Linked DNA regions of Caenorhabditis elegans. The protein of the gene in region 1 interacts with the protein of each later gene in a pairwise test. Each region holds a gene or a part of one and is shown in the gene's direction. Other genes may lie near its edges. The genes, in order: K08E7.5, abu-10 and crim-1.

Region 1 (5,460 bases):
TTTTGTTCCATTCCTCCCCGCTCACCGAATTCTTGTGTCATTATCATCATTTTTCTAAATGTTATTTTACAATTCTGGTTGAATTGAAATTCTCGATGTTCGTTTTGTTCCATAAATTTTGACGATGATTTATCTATATGTATTTATTTTCTTCTATGCTTTAATAACACAGAAAAGGGGGAATTTCAAAAAATTTATTAGGATACATTGAGGACTATTGTGGGATGGCGAGCTCCTCGTAGTTGCCCTCCTAAAAACGTTCGTTTTGTCTTTTAAAATATGCCAAAAATAACTCACATCTTCTTTCTTTGGAGCCACTGGTTCATCCTTCTTTGACGATGGAACGTCTTGTTTCTTCGAATCGAATGAGTCGCTTTTTCCGACTCCTCCAGCAGGTGCTGCCATAAGTTTAGCGACCGGTTTTGGAGCCACTGTTTTCTTCTTGCTCCCACAATGGACCAGCACAAATGGCAAGATATTGAGAGTTAATAGCAAAATGATCTGGAAGCGAGAGGTTTGGAAAATATCAGAATCCTGACAGAAAACTCACTTGCGAGATCATTATTCTTTTTTCGCTTCCGAGAGGTTTTGAATCTTGTAAAGTGAGAAAATATGAATTTTGTAGATTTTCGGAGGCTTTATATATGAGAAATTGTAAGGGGAAGAAATGTTCACGGAAATTCAAAGTTCGAAGGTTGAAATTTTTCAAATTTTCTATCACAAAACACATTTTCGGTTCGCGTTAATAGTTTTCAAATTGGTTTTTTTTTTCATTTTTAATGAGTTTAAAGTTTAGAAATTTGGTTCTACATTAACATATACTTTGTGACAGAGATGGGCGGCAACTGCCGTTTGGCAAATTGGAAAAATTGAATTGCCGGTTTGCCGATTTGCCGGAAGTTTTGGAGGGACTTTTTATAAGATGGAAGCGTTTAAAATTGTGCCTTTTTGAAAATTTCTTCCCGTTTTCTTTAGATATTTTCATAGAACTTGTTTACTTTTCAAAATAGACGTAGGAAAAATCATAGGATGCGTACAATTTTGCCGATTAAAATTGAAATTCTGAAAGAACCGGCCTTCCAGCAATTTTCAGTATTTTTTCTGAAATATTTGGCAGCATCTGAAAGCATTTTTCAACATCCTGTAAATTTTGGCAAATGTGGGCAATTTTTTTTGCAACACCTGGGCCGGCAATTTCTTAATCACAGCGGTAGCGACGAGAGTTTGAAATTACAGTACTCTTTAGAGACGCAAACCTTTTCGCATTAAATAAAATGAAAGACTAATTTTCAATTGGTCCGTGGGGTGCAAGACTAATAGAGACTAATAGAGGAAATACAGCATATATTTTTATTAGATGGTGCAAAGTCCTATTTTCCCAGAAGATCACATCTTATTAAATTAAGATTCTCTGGTTCGCTGCCCCCTTCTCTTCCAAAGTTTCCTCAAAAATATATCCGAAGGGAAAATAAAAAATAATATGCGCAGACGATAATAAAAAAATATAGACAAAAACCCGATTCTCTAAGAGATCAAGCACGTCGATTACGTTATATTATTTTTCCCCTGTCAAATTTCATTGTTATGCAACATCTGCATGACGTCCATCTTCTGGACAAGACCGAGAGATGATATGGGCGGTCTGTACACGTTTTTTTTCTGTCTTTCAGATATCTCATCGTAATAAGCTTGCAGATATTTTTCTAGTATAGTTTTATCTAACATTTCTGACATTTTCAAAAATTTTCAAAATTGAAGCGAAAAAGTTGGTGGCCGAGTTGTTATTTATTCCCGGCCACATCGCAAAAAAAATCATAATTTACTCTGTTTTTGGAAAATTAGGTAAAAATTACTTTCAAAAACAGTAAACAATGGTTCAAAGTTGCATGTCCAGTTTTTCACTTCGTTCTTGTATACTCCCCCTGGTAAAATGTCTACTTCTATTTGTAAACTTGCTGATTTTTGAATCCTTAATAACTCAGTACCTGTAAGAGATACAAAAATATTGTCAACTATCAAAATAATCAAAATTGTCTCAAAAATATTTTGTCAGTTGACAATATTTTTCCAACTCCTATCCCAACGGAGTTATTCGTTCCATAAGAGATCACATTTTCCACAGACCACACCCCAATTATTTCCAATAAATCAGAAAATAATCAAAGTCCATTATCACTGCTTATCCCGTTAGCCATGTTTCATAGAAGGGCTAAATGATAATGGATTCTTCTTTTTTCAACATTCTCCTTCTCCTTCTTGCCTGTCGGTTTCCTTTTCCGATCCAGAGAAGAAGGGGAAACTTGTCGATTAGCCAGTTCACAAATCAAGAAATACCGGTGGATTCGGAAATTTCTCTTTCTCGAGATTTTTGACATGCTTTCGGTTTGACCCTTCTATGTGTCATTTAAGTTTTTTTTTGTTTATTTTCGTTGGAACATTTTGAAAACTAGTGTAAATCTGTTATTATAAGTTTATTCGTTTATTTAAGTACATTTTCGGTCAGTGGGGTCTAAATAAAAGTTACATTTTTGTGTCCCACTAACTTTTTAACTTTTTTTTGAGAAATTTTCAAAACGTTTCATTAAACGCGGTAGTTTTTGGTCATTTTGGGCATAAAAAGGCAAAGTCTTCAATTTAGGTACTAGAGTTTTTAATATCAGTCCGTCATTTTAGTTTTTGATTTGTTTCCTTTTTTATTTTTAGTTTGTTCCTAAATTCTGAAAGGCTATATCACTATTGTTCTGGATTCTACCAATTAAACTTTGATATAATTTCTTAAAAAATAGTTTGCTCCTAGAAATTGTAAAGTCAAAACCCTTCTTTCTATCCTGTCTGCAACTTTCAATTTTTCAATAAAAACTAAACACAGATATTCTAGATCAATTCCATATGCGAAGGCTTTTGATACATCTAGTTGTCCTTCTAGTACTATTACTAGAAGGACACAATGTTCTAGGGTTTGCAAGTGCGCCAGGGACCTATCCAGAAGAAGAAACACGAGCTGGTAATGATATGGAAGTGCCCAAAAATCCATATGAAAGCACATGGACCGGATATGATTTTTATTATGAAAAGGAGCCAAAGAAGGGTACGTTAGAAAAAATATGCAATTTTTGAAATTTATTTTCCAAATTATTATCAATTTTTCCCTGTAAATGTTGGCCGAGTTTATCTTGCACTTTATATTACGTTTCATTTCCAGATTATCATTTCTCGGCAGTCATGTAGCAAAATCAGAATAGCCTGTCAATAACTTCCTTCTAATTTTCAGTCCCACCCTCCGCAGGCAGCGGAAAAATGCCAGCGTTCCAGTCGATCGCGTCCATCTCAACAGACCGTGAATCTCCAGAAGACCCAGGAAATAGTGGTTATTTAGCGTCCGGAGCCGAATCTGGACCCAAGAAAACCACGTCGAAACCTGCAACAACACCCACTCCAGAACCTACCACTACTCCCGTAGAAGAAGAAAAAGTAAAAGTGTCGCCGAGCAGTAGTACTAAAGGTTGGTGGAAAGTTGAGTTTTGTGGCCACGTAGAAATATCTCACCTATGCACCAGAACACCTAAATAGTGGTTTCACACACACGTGTTTTATAAAACTTCACTCCAGATCCATCAAAGCTGCACAAAACCACCAAAACACCTGTCACTATCACAAATATAATATCAACCACCACTGCACCACCAGCGCCATCTAGAGCACCAGAAAATGATCCGGAATCCGGATCCGACCAATCGGAGAGCACTGATAATTTGGATTTACTTTACGGCGGGGGAAGTTCTGCCACAGCCACCGGGGAGGATAAGAAAGGTATTTGGAATAGGAAAATATAATTGAGTATCTAGAGAATATGTAAAACTAACGTTCTAAATATTTAACATCTGAAAACAATTTTCTAGTAGTGTCACATGTCACATTGTAGATTTTGTGTACTGCCTTTTTCAACTTTTGGAGTTCAAATAAAGATAGGTCTTCTGAATACATGTAGTGGCCATTGTCATCGACATATAAGCGCAAAATAGCGCACAAGTGGACATATAAGCGCAAAATTCAAAGTTAGCCAGATTATCAAACTGTCTTTAAAACCAGCACGGCACTCTACCACTAATAATCCCAACTTTTGCACAGACCCTCCCAAACTGCATGATCCACCTCCACCGCATCCATCTGCACCACAAAACCTTTTAACCCAATTGATTCAAAAGAAGAAGGATGCACCAAACAAAGGATCATCTGAGAAAAGTTCCAAATGGTCAGATGATCATGCTTCCGGGTATCCGGAGGGAAGTGCTCCTAGCGCTGAGCCATCTGAAAACCAGTATGAGCAAGATGGTTCTATTCCATCGTCGAATGACTACAAAGAGCTCACAGATGTACCAGGTACAAAGCCAAGCTCTTCAGCTTCACGTGGTTCAAATATGGCAGGTAACCCCACAGCACCGCTCACCACCACTCAGCACACTTTTGCACCAAACAGCACTGAAACATCAAGATCTTCTACTAGCAGAGGAAAGGCTCCTGGGACCGAACCTAAGTCTGAAGCTCGGTATAGCTCTCAGAATCCTTACTCAGACAACTCGAGCACCCAGAAGCCAGAATACGAATCTGGATACCCAGCGGTGTCTGGAGCAAACTCAAGAGCCCAAATTCCTAATATCACGGACTACACTAAACCATCAGCAGTGTCAATTGAATACGCATCAAGCTCGAAGGAAAGGTCTGATCCTCCATTTTCAACACCCTTAACATCTAATTCACAACATGTACTTACACAGCCAAGGCCAAGGGATTATGAAGATGGCCCGCAGGAGACAACTCGGACAAAAGCTAGTGGCACAAAATCACCTAACTCACTCCAAGCACCTCAACAAACTGCAGCACATCTCATGAAAAATGCCAGAGCACCTGGTCCGGAGCCAAGTCTTCACAGCACTACCACTCACCACGTACAAACACCAATTATCACCATAGCACCCAAGTTTTCAGAACCATCACCATATGCAGAAAATATTATGCTTACACCAAAGCAGGCACCTGGCACCGAACCTCGGTCTAACTCTCAGAACCCTCAAACAGATCGGTTAGCCTCCCAATCAGGATATGAATCCGGCGGGCCTGGACGTCCACAAAATGTTTCAATAAGACACCGAGAGAATCCAAAGGGATCTGATGCAATTTCAAGAACCGCTATTACTCCTTCTAAGATTGATTACTTTGCACCATCGTCACCAACAGGGCCAATTGGATATGAACGTCAAGTCCCGAGTTTCAAGGAAGGACCAGATCATCAATATACAAAATACTCCACGCTCAATTCACCACCTGCACCATCACCACAAGAGTCAAGCACAATCACTCACCATGTCTCCACATCACCCGACTTTTTAGAGCCATCATCAGAAAGTTCTGTGCTCTTACCGAAGCAAGCACCCGGCACCAATCCGAGCACGTCTAATAGTC
Region 2 (5,460 bases), on another chromosome or scaffold:
CTTAGTCATAATAGTTCGTTTCGTGAATTCTGAAGTGTAAGGAGAAAGTTTCTGTAAGAAATTCAATACAAACTAAATTCGAATTAAATGAATATGTTTTTGCTTCTTTTCTTTTTTTAAATTAAAAAGAATTTTCTTTAATTCAATTATATGAGCTTGTTTTCAGCGGGATGTTCAATATTTGCAGCAATATTTGTTGCAAGATTTGTGTATGCGAATGTGCACAAAGAGCAAAAAATCAAAGGTTCTATTTGATTACACACACTTGAAGATTGGACTACACTCATTTGCTGCTCATCTTTGATTATCAACCCCCCCCCCCCACAAAAAATTCTTGACTCATTGTTACTTATTTAATTTTTTGCTCGGCCTGGTGGTAGTTCAAATAAACGAAGCGGAGCACAATACGGGAATCCAGAATTGTATCGCGTGCAACTGTATACTTTTGAGTTGAATTGGGAGAAGGTGGAAAAAATGTCGCAGACTATATTTTGGCAACTCTGGCGGAGAAAAAGAGCTCGGATAAAGATCATATAGCAAAATGGTGCTTGTGAACTTTGAACCAAATCCTGATGGAACGCTGGGAGACACTTTTTGGAAACACTACAATTGGCACATACTGATATGATTTCATGATTAAAAAATTGTTATGACAGTTTAAAAGTTGGAAATATATGACTAGATATATTATATTTTGCCAATTTATTTATGCAAAAATGGTCACAAGTTAATTTTTTTTTTAATAAATAGAAACCGTGTACTCCACTGACAATCAGGCAAAAAAAAAACAGTTTCTGGAAATAATAGAAGATTTTGTTATACTTTTGTAATAAAGTTACACGCACTAGTGGACAAAAATGAAGACTACAGCAAACTTCAGTCATTTTTTTTTTATTTTTGAAAACATTTTGAAAAATTTCAAAAAGTTTCTTACAAAATCTTTTCATCTTGTGAAAAGGCTTGCAGCTACACCGTAGATCCATATTTAAAAATAACAGAAGGTTTTGTTTTATAGAGAAACCATTCACAATAAATACTAATACCTTGATGTTAATTATGAAAAAGTCAGAACTCCATGTTTCTTACGTGAAAAAAAACACTGAAAAAAACATTGTTGACCATTTTCAGAAAATAAAATTTAATGGAAACATACTTTTAGTGAATGAGTATTTAATGTAAAACTAGATCACCCTCCCCCCCCCCCCCTCCCAGCAAACTTTTGAGCTCATCCCAATGGTCTGAAAACACGCATAATTCGAAAACGTTCCTCATCACATCAAACGAACATATATTTCAAGTACATGCGTTTTTGCGGGCACACTGATAAAACAGAGCCGGCACAGAGTGCTCACGTACCGGTTCTCGTACGTTGCTCAACTCTCCTGTAACATGACCACCCCTGAGCTTTTAATCCGATTCCGGCGCAACTTTTTGTGCTGCTTTCCTTCATCCTCAGACACAAACATTGCAACCTTTTATCCAGCCGGCAATCGAACTCAACTCAACCCCTCAACCGGTATCTAAAGTAAAGGCAAGCGGTCTGAGTAATGAAGAATGTGATAATTGGGGTTCTTTGTATTTGTTTGTTGGGAGGGAGAAGAATCAACGAGAGATTGTGCAAATGCAACAGCTGAAAGCGTTAACCAGTTTCTCAGCTTGTATTCTTCTATGACGCGGTCTCTATTTACGGACTATTTGCAAATAACGCATCACTTGAACTTTTCAATGCAAGTGTTCGGAGATTGAAAGTTCTGTGTCACTACATTCACGTATTGTTGAAAACTATAACGGATATATTACAAGACGGTCTAGACAAAAATTGGGAAAAAAAGCTCTACTGAAAATGGGATATTAAACTACTACCTTTCAGAAATACTTTCAGAACAATATTACTTGATACAAAAGAAAGATCTTCAAAATAGCTTGCTGGTACTCCAACTAAAAAGATATAATAATCAATTTTTTTTTTACAAATCGGTGCAAAATAGTCGTTCGTTTACTAGTCATGCTTTGAAAAAATTTAAGCTTAACAATGCAACCTAACCTCGATTTTTTTCAAATTAAATTACAATTTCAAATGAGAATAAAGAGAACCTTCTACAACTTGAACATTCTGTGAACTATTGGAAAACACTGGACATTGAATGAAACAAAATTTTTAAACATTCACATTTGCGACGTTGGGCCGTTATTTATTGTCTCGAAAGAGGAAAAAAATGTCTGACAAATTGGAAAAGTACAGTAGATTCAACTGTCACACTTTTTTGTAAAGTAGGGCCTAAAATTAGTAGACTCGAGTTTTGAATTGGTGAGCCAATATCTCTCTTGACACAATTGAAGTGTTTTTAAACTGGTTAGAAGACTAGACTGAAATATATTATAGCTAACATCACTTTGGATAGTATGCGTCTTCGGCAAAATTTCATGTGCGCAAGAAGCCAAAAACAAACAATGTTTATTTGTGTGCACGCATTTTTTCAGCACACGGTTTTCATTTTCTCTGACTAAACTTTTTTCCCCCTCCTTACCATATTCCCACAGGTGCTCTAATCCGATCATAACTACTCATCTGTGTTTGATGCACAATTGAAACTGCCTTCGTTCTTTTTTGTCGCCTGTTCTTGCGCATGCCGGTCTTACCCTCTTGCCATGACTCCTCCCGGCGGGCGCGTATAAATATGAGGAGCAAAAGTTGAGTTGTCAGTAGTAGCTTGGCTTCGAATACTCTCTAACAAAAGCAGCAATGTTCCGCTCTGCATTTTCAATTTTTGCTATTGTCGCCCTGGTGAGATTTCTTTTTTTTTTCATTCCATTTTATTTATAAATTCCCCGCCATTTTCAGGCACTTTCGGCACCAACTCTTAGAGAAAAGCGTCAGGCTTGCTCATGCGCCCCAGTTCAGCAGCAACCATCGTGCTGCCAACAATCCACCATCAATGTCCAGGTTCAGTACACTCAGGTCCAACAAGCTCCAGCTCAAGACCCATGTGCTTGCCAGCCACAGCAGCAGCAGCCTGCGTGCAACTGTGCTCCAGTTCAGCAAGATCCATGTGCTTGCCAGCCACAACAGCAGCAGCCGGCTTGTAACTGTGCTCCAGTTCAACAAGATCCATGCGCCTGCCAGCAACAGCAACCATCCTGCGATTGCGCTCCAGTTCAACAGCAACCAGCCTGTGACTGCCAGGTAGGCTGTTAATGTAAGAGCGACGAATAAAAGTAACCCATCTTTGCAGCCACAACAACAACCAGCCTGTGATTGTGCTCCAGTTGCTCAACAACCAGCTTGTGACTGCCAACAAAACCCATCATGTGTGACCTGCATCCAAATCGAGATCCGTCAGCAACAAGCTCAACAGCCAGCTTGCGATTGTGCTCCAGTTCAGCAGAACCCATGTTGCCAACAAGCTCAGGTACAATATATTTGGTAAATGTTGGATGAACTTTTGAAGTTTCAGCCAGCCTGTGATTGCGCTCCAGTCCAACAGCAACCATCTTGCGATTGCGCTCCAGTTCAACAGAACCCATGCTGCCAACAAGCTCAGGTATGGCATTTTGAACAATTTTTTTTAGTCCGGTAATTTCAGCCAGCCTGCGACTGTGCCCCAGTCCAACAGCAACCAGCCTGTGATTGTGCTCCAGTCCAGCAGAACCCATGCTGCCAACAACAGGCTCAGGTAAATCACACTCCAGAGTTTTCCATTAAGTTTGTGAATTACAGTCAACTTGCGACTGTGCCCCAGTTCAACAGAACCCGTGCTGCCAACAAGCTCAGCCAGCTTGTGATTGTGCCCCAGTTGTTCAGCAAAACCCATGCGCTTGCCAACAGGCTCAGGTAAAGACTATTGCTTTTTGACCAGTAAATTAACTATGGATATCTAAACTTCCAGCCATCCTGTGATTGCGCCCAACAAGCTCAGCCAACCTTCCAAGTCCAAGTTCAACAAGCGCAACCAATCAATCAGTGCGTCCCAGCTTGCCAGCCAGCTTGCCAGTCATCGTGCACCGCTTCGTACACCAACCAACAATCCCAACATTCGTCAGCTACTACTTCCTGCGATGCTAACCAATGCGTATGCCAACGCGGATACGTCAAGTGCGCCGAGCAGACCTGCTGTCTTAGATACAGATACACCAACCGCAAGGCAAAGCGATCGATCGCCTAAACGAACTCATTTCTGACCATGTCTTTCTTTTTCGACTTCACGCAAACTATTTGTACATTTCGGTAATATTATTGCCATTACATAAAGTAGTTTTATATTATTTCCTTTTACACAATGAGTATATGCAATGAAGATATAAATGAAAAAATGATTAAGAATCATTTCTATGATGTTCAAATTACCAATTTTCGTCTAAATTACAACAAAATCACTGAAAAAGATTTGAGAAAAATGCAATTTTCTTTTAGGAAACTCTATTTGAAGTTTGAAAACCAGAAGATTTTCACAAAGGGTTGGTTCTATCATTATCTAAAACAGCAATCGTAGAAGAGATTTGAGAGTTTTCTTCAAAACTAAACTTTTTATATTGTGTTCAATATTGTTAACGAATTTTTGATCTTTAAATTTCCCATTTATTTTAAATCTAAATAACCTATACAATAATAAGCGCATTTGAGGAGTCAAATAAATAGACACATTTCAATTGAGATCTTCCACAATAAATAAGACACCTTACTAAAACATTTTTGGCACATGAACAAAGTACTAAGACAATAAATTAATGAATGCAGCGTTTCTAGAGCAGCTCAATATAGCTGACAGGCAATTTTCCGCGTTTTCCTCCTTTTTCAGCCATCACATATTCCGCATCCATTCCAGGAAGGCGATACACGATGAGAATCTGCAACAAGAGCAGACGTAATTTCACACAATATTTGGTTTCAATAGGGGTCCTCCTCTCAAGACTCACATCATTCTGGGTGACGCTGATCTCTTGTGGCAGCACTGCATCGTAGTCCATGATCACTTTGGCTTGCTTGGTTCCCAAGTCATCCGGCAGTAGGCCACTTGGCTGGAAAATCAGTAATTTGAAGAGATGTTCGTGATGGGAAATAATTGAAAATCACTGGAACGGAAACAACGCTTTCCACGAAGTTCTTCCCCAACTAACCTTGGCCGCCGCTATTGCCGCCGCCATAGTCCTTCCGTTTGGCGGGTCGCCACTATTGTTCACCAGTATTGCCGAGCTTCCGCGAAATGACATGGTGCTGAAAGCAATTTCCTTAAATCTGGGGACAATGAAAAAAGTTTGGCAGAATAGAGAAACATTTATTTGAGTTCAAATCGCGTTTCGTCGTTGTGTCACACATACTAAGACATTCACACAGCAACTGTGACTAGAAGAAGCCGATCAACGGCGGTTGGGGGGAGAATTGAGAGTAAGAAGAAAAAAATTAAACATACTAATTATGCTTATCGATTGGTGGAAATGACCGGGAGCTGTTAAAATATGAAA
Region 3 (5,460 bases), on another chromosome or scaffold:
TTGTTTATTGAACCGTCGGTGAACCTATGTTTTTTGGATTTCGATTCTCGATCAGTTGTGAAAAAATGAAAATTATTATTTTTGAAGATACGAACTGAACTGGAAATGTGAATTGAACTGAATCTCACAAAGTTATACTGATTGGATTCTAGTTTTTAAAATACCAATATTAAAATCACGCGGAACTTGGCGAAAATATTAAAACGATTGCATTTATTTTGAAGTTTACATACATAACATTTATTGACAAGAATTACAGTAACTCAATACCCACGCGGCGAGACCATGCGCGTAAGATATGGTGAACATTCTCTGATTTAAGTTTATGTAATAGTGGTGTGCAATACAAATAGGGAACAACGCTTTAAAATGTTTCTGTGCTGAACCACAAATTTCAAATCAGCTTTGATGCATCTGTCAATTGCAAAAAAAACCGCCTACCTCTAGATAATTTGAACTAGGAAAGAGTGATACATAACTATTCTCCCATTCAAGGCGAGTTATTTCTGCCTTCTAGGCACAGAAGTAGGCATTTTGTTTCTTCGTGGAAACAAAACTTTCTAGCTATTTTCGAATTAAAAGTTTCTTTCGATAACTTGGTACAAAAGGTTTTGGAAATTTATATAATCCATTAGAACCAGTGTTATCCAAAGTGTTTAAACTTTCTTTTTACAGAAAACTGGGAAGCAAGCTTCTAGAACCGAAAGCATTTGATAATTTTGGAATTTTCTCTGAGACGTACCTCGTATAACTTACCGTATTAAAACACACGAGCTGATACTAGAAAATATATTTCAAATTTCAAAACTTTTCAATTTCGACATAAACTTCATTTTATTGTTCCATAAATATTTTCTTGCCCTTCCGTTTCCTGTCCATCATTCCAATTTCTCGTCACTTTTTGGCTACCGATGATGCTTGCTCTTCGAGCACCCGCAGCTGATCGACATTCTACTGATAACCATGAAAATGAGTCAAACACATTCCATTTTCTAACCTCTTGTCATTTTTTCCTTTCGAAGGCAAAAGGAGAAATATACCGAAGAGACATTTCGACGCCAATATACACTGTAATCAATCTTCTCACCTTCACGCCAATCATCCTCTCGATCATCATCCTTTCTCGATAGTTTCAAACTGTTTTCTTTTTTTCTTTTTTTAGTGAAAGACGTCGATGAAGTGTTTGTGATAAAAAATTACCGAGCTACAAGAGAAGAAAGGGAATTTTTGCTGAAAAGGCATTCCGTTCCACTCTTTCTCCTCTATCTCTGAAATTCCTCTTCTAATATTTTTACACCCTCACTAATAACAAAACACCTCTCCTTCTTTACCATACATTCATCTCATTTTCTATCTTTTATCACACCGTTCCTTACCGGTTTCTTATTTGAGGCAGCATGTATTTCAATGAGACCTCCATGAGACGTTTTTTTACCTTTTCCCGTCTAGACCCGCATAATCTAAATGGTTTCAATGTTTCCTTTTCCATCTCTCATCGACTCGTTTTTTGTCTATTTTCTTGTCCTCGTTCACTCAAGTTGATAAGAGCATTTTGAACACATAAAAAATTTACTATGGCCTAAACCAGGCGATTTTTATTGAGTTTTCATAAGAATCGTTTTTTGTGGAACATTGTGTACTTTTTTAAAGTTAAAGAAGTATTATTTCAAATTTAATACGATTTGAATGCTCTTCGATCATTCGGCTGATTGGCATGTCTTCCTAATTAATTGGAAACTTCTCAATAGAATACCACAAAATATAGCACTACCCTTATTGATATACTTTAAGAAACTATTTCTAGGTTTTCTTCGGCTTAAAAATGTAGCACATAAATTTGGTGCCAATTACTTTTTGATATTTTAGTATTGACAAAATTTGTGATAATACCAAGGATAACCAAATATGAGCTGCCAAGATAGAGCATTAAATGTACAAGGCTAATAGGGAAAGTACCGTAATCTTTTTGTAAGGTTGACACGCTTAGCGACCAGTTTTCTGTGTGTTTTTCAGGGTTTCATTTTCTCCAGATTTCAAATATTCCAGGTTTCCTGCTCCTCAATATTCTTTTTTTCTGCATTTCAAACGGTAAATTCTTTAGTGAACGTTGAAGATAATTCCGGAATCATTTGAAAGTTGAATTCTTCAAATGAACATTTTGCACGAGACGTAATAGTTTTATCAGTAATAAAATCACTTGTTATTTTTGAAAACTAGATAACTTCTCTTCTCTTGAAAAACTGTGGAATAAAACAAATAGTTAAGTAAAAACTGTTCTTTTGAGTAGGTAGCATAGGAACATCCACCTATTTTTTTTTGTTTGATCTGGTTCTAGTTTCTAAAGTAAACATGAATAAACTTAGAATCTTTGATGAAAGTCATTATCAATGTTATAACACGGAACTAGGTCTCCTTTGTCAAATGAACTGAGTGTTTCTTCTTAATTATGTTGTTGTTTCTTTCTATTGAATTGCAAAACAAAGTGTTCTAATCCATCGGGCGCCAGTTCGGTATACTACGAGCTTCTGCTACCATCTTTCTGTCTCCGCGCACCTTCATCATTTTGTCTTTCGCCCAATGTCAACAGACCTTTTTTCGTCTCCCTGCTTGCTCGCTTGTGTTCTTTCTCTTTGACAGTGCAGCTTCTTCACCGATCGACTCGGATCACTTTCGTTGTCTATAACCTCTCTGATTCTTGTGCTTTACCGTCGTGAAGATCCCGCGCAGTTCGATTTTCAAAGGCGGGGCCTGCACAGACACAGTTCATTTCAAATTGGGACACTACGAGACGGTCTCTCTGTTTCTCGTTTTACTTACTTTTTCATTTGAATTGAAATCTTAGTTACATGGTCCCAAAAAAATCGACAAAAAATTTATATACATGACTACAATTTTCATATTTTTCTTTGCAGAGCTTGTGGGCCGTTCATCACGCGGCTTCTCCGCTGAACGGCAAAAACGGTTATGCAGAATTGTTGAAATGCAGTGGTCAAGTAGTATTATTTTACTCTTCACATTTCTTATCATTTCCAATGCAAAAAACCAAAAGACCACATTGTGCGGGACATGTGACAAGGATTCATGTCCAGATGTTTCAGGATGCGAGCAATTGAAAAAGGATCAGTGCGATTGCTGCGAAGTGAGTAATTTAAAATTTTGATAGAAAACGAACTATGGTTTAACAATTCTTTAAAACTTATTTTTAAAATTAATTTTAATATTCTAGTTCCTCAGTTTTAATTTTCTTTTTAAAATTCCAGAACATTGAATGTGAGCTTTTGAAATAATTTTCCACAATTTCTCATGACTAAAATTCTAACTATTATCATAAATCCCCAATAACTTAATTATTATTGGACAATGATCAAATGAACAAATGAAAGGATCAAATGCTCAGTGAAACAACTGAATAAAGATGAGCTTTAATGTATTATGCTACACAGTCAAATCAGTACCAAAACGAAGAACCGTTTGATAGAAACGCATAATTCAGATACCGTGTATCCTCTTAGAGCTCTTATTCCTCTTATTCCTATAATGAAATTGCACATAGATAGGTTCCCGATAATTAGTACTTTTTTTACTAATAGAGGAAACACGGTACATTAAAAATAATCCTAATTGCTTTGAAAGTGGTTCAACTTTCTAAGTTTCAAATGATAATAACTGTCCCTTAAATCTTACTTTCGGTTTTTAAACCGCGGTTTTAGTTATAATTTTGTTTCTACAAAAAGAAATACACTGAATAAACTTAAACATAAGTCAAAAGTCTATAAAAAAGTATGTGCGGTCTTTTTTAACGGCTTTCAAACAATAAACAAAAAGTTATACTTGCAGGTCTGCATTCGACAAATCGGTGAAACTTGCGACGGGCCTGGTCTTGTTTGTGATTCGCATCTTTCATGTCATCAGGAAAACGATCTTGATGGTTCAAGTCGATGTAAAGGTATATTTTCTTCAATATTTCAAAGTCCCTTTGCATGTTTCATTCGATTTGAAAGAACTTTGGTTGTTTTTTCGAGGTCCAGAATGCTTCCTAATTAAAAAGAAAAGGGTGCTCTAGAGTTACTATTGGGCTTATTTTATTGCTGAAATTTGATAGGGTTTCTTCTCAGTCTCTCTATCTCTCTCTCTCTTTCATTTTCTCTTCCTATAAAAAATGACTTCTCAAAATGGTGGCGGTTCTCTTGTGCTGAGGCTTCTCGTGTGTGCTCGCCGGACGACGCAATCCACCCTGCTCTCCCGAATATACAATTTCTATTTACTTTACTTCACTCTGCCCGCAGTTTTTTAACCAAAAAGTCCTCTATGTTGTGTCCGCAGATAGGGCGGCTTGCAAAGGTAGAAAATGGGTTGGACTAACTTGAGAATTGAAACGATCTTGTTGTGGATAAAAAATCGGACAATGTAGGCAATGGGGATATCAAGTAATTGAAATATTGCAAGGATTCTGAGCATACCAAAACTTGAATGTTGTTAAAAAATACTTAGATTGTTCAAAAATAAATTGTTTTTATCAATTTCTTTCAAGATCTAGAAAAGGAGTGAGCTAGAAAATTCTTGATTGCGGCATGTTGTTCCAATGTTTGGTAATTGGAAGATTTTAAGCCATCATTAAGCACCTCCCAACTCCTTTAACTCAAAATGAAAAGTTTATAGATTATTAAAACATTTTCTACATTTTTACTGAAATATAATGGAACAACGAGCCACGATCGGCCTTGTTGTAGAATTTCCGTCTCAACCTGATCTCGAATTATTTTATGCTCAAGCACATTTGGTTTTGTCTGGATTTTCAGTTCAAAAATGTACTCCTTCCTGTATTTGTCTATTCCGTGTTGTTTCGTTCAAGATGCCATCAAACTTTAATTCAATTTTCGAATTATGATTGCATAGGAAACAGAAAATTTCAAAAAAAAAAAACGGAACGAATGACTAACCAATTGCGCGACACCGAAAAAGAACAGAGTTTCGAGAAGTGTCTAACCTCTGTCTCCCTCAATTGACTCCGCCTACTTTGTCTTCAAGTGTTGCATAGAGTTGGCCATATGCGGGACGACGTAAATCATTTCGATAATTTTTTTACGGAAAGAAGAGCTTGGTGTCTTGGAGATTAGTAATGGTTAAGCTTCTTTTCATGAAATTTTTTTTTCTATTTTTGTCATCGGCAAATCTTTCTGCTTCTCATTTGAATTTGAAAATGTCTTAGTATATATCAAAAATTATGTGTACATACTTTGAAATTTCAAAATGGCTATTCCCGACATTTCTGTGCTTAAATAACAAGGAAAAATCAGAAAAATTTGATATACAAAAATTATTTTCAACAAATAAAAATAAACTTGTTTGAAACTTCAAAATAAAAATGCCTTTCATTATTTTCTATATTAACTGCAATGAATTTGGTTTCACTATGTAATATCTGTTGTTTCAATTTAGACAAACCGAATCCATTGCTTA

Evidence for each region.
Region 2: the proteins of K08E7.5 (region 1) and abu-10 interact in a two-hybrid assay, tested with the Caenorhabditis elegans proteins (2 studies listed by BioGRID).
Region 3: the proteins of K08E7.5 (region 1) and crim-1 interact in a two-hybrid assay, tested with the Caenorhabditis elegans proteins (2 studies listed by BioGRID).

What each region holds. Positions count from the first base shown.
Region 1 is NC_003282.8:12,570,492-12,575,951, forward strand, and holds the start of K08E7.5 (Prion-like-(Q/N-rich)-domain-bearing protein), read left to right. Parts: upstream 1-2,876; 5' UTR 2,877-2,889; coding exon 2,890-3,088; intron 3,089-3,271; coding exon 3,272-3,502; intron 3,503-3,609; coding exon 3,610-3,810; intron 3,811-4,128; coding exon 4,129-5,460. Other genes in the region: K08E7.4 (uncharacterized protein), read right to left, coding at 215-250, 298-501, 551-562.
Region 2 is NC_003284.9:3,795,480-3,800,939, forward strand, and holds abu-10 (Activated in Blocked Unfolded protein response), read left to right. Parts: upstream 1-2,702; 5' UTR 2,703-2,743; coding exon 2,744-2,785; intron 2,786-2,842; coding exon 2,843-3,184; intron 3,185-3,233; coding exon 3,234-3,410; intron 3,411-3,455; coding exon 3,456-3,542; intron 3,543-3,584; coding exon 3,585-3,674; intron 3,675-3,718; coding exon 3,719-3,832; intron 3,833-3,887; coding exon 3,888-4,163; 3' UTR 4,164-4,262; downstream 4,263-5,460. Other genes in the region: F35A5.8 (SH3 domain-containing GRB2-like protein B1), read right to left, coding at 4,741-4,845, 4,915-5,016, 5,116-5,212.
Region 3 is NC_003283.11:10,329,565-10,335,024, reverse strand, and holds the start of crim-1 (Cysteine-rich motor neuron 1 protein-like), read left to right. Parts: upstream 1-2,912; 5' UTR 2,913-2,980; coding exon 2,981-3,139; intron 3,140-3,837; coding exon 3,838-3,946; intron 3,947-4,188; exon of another isoform or gene 4,189-4,328; intron 4,329-5,460.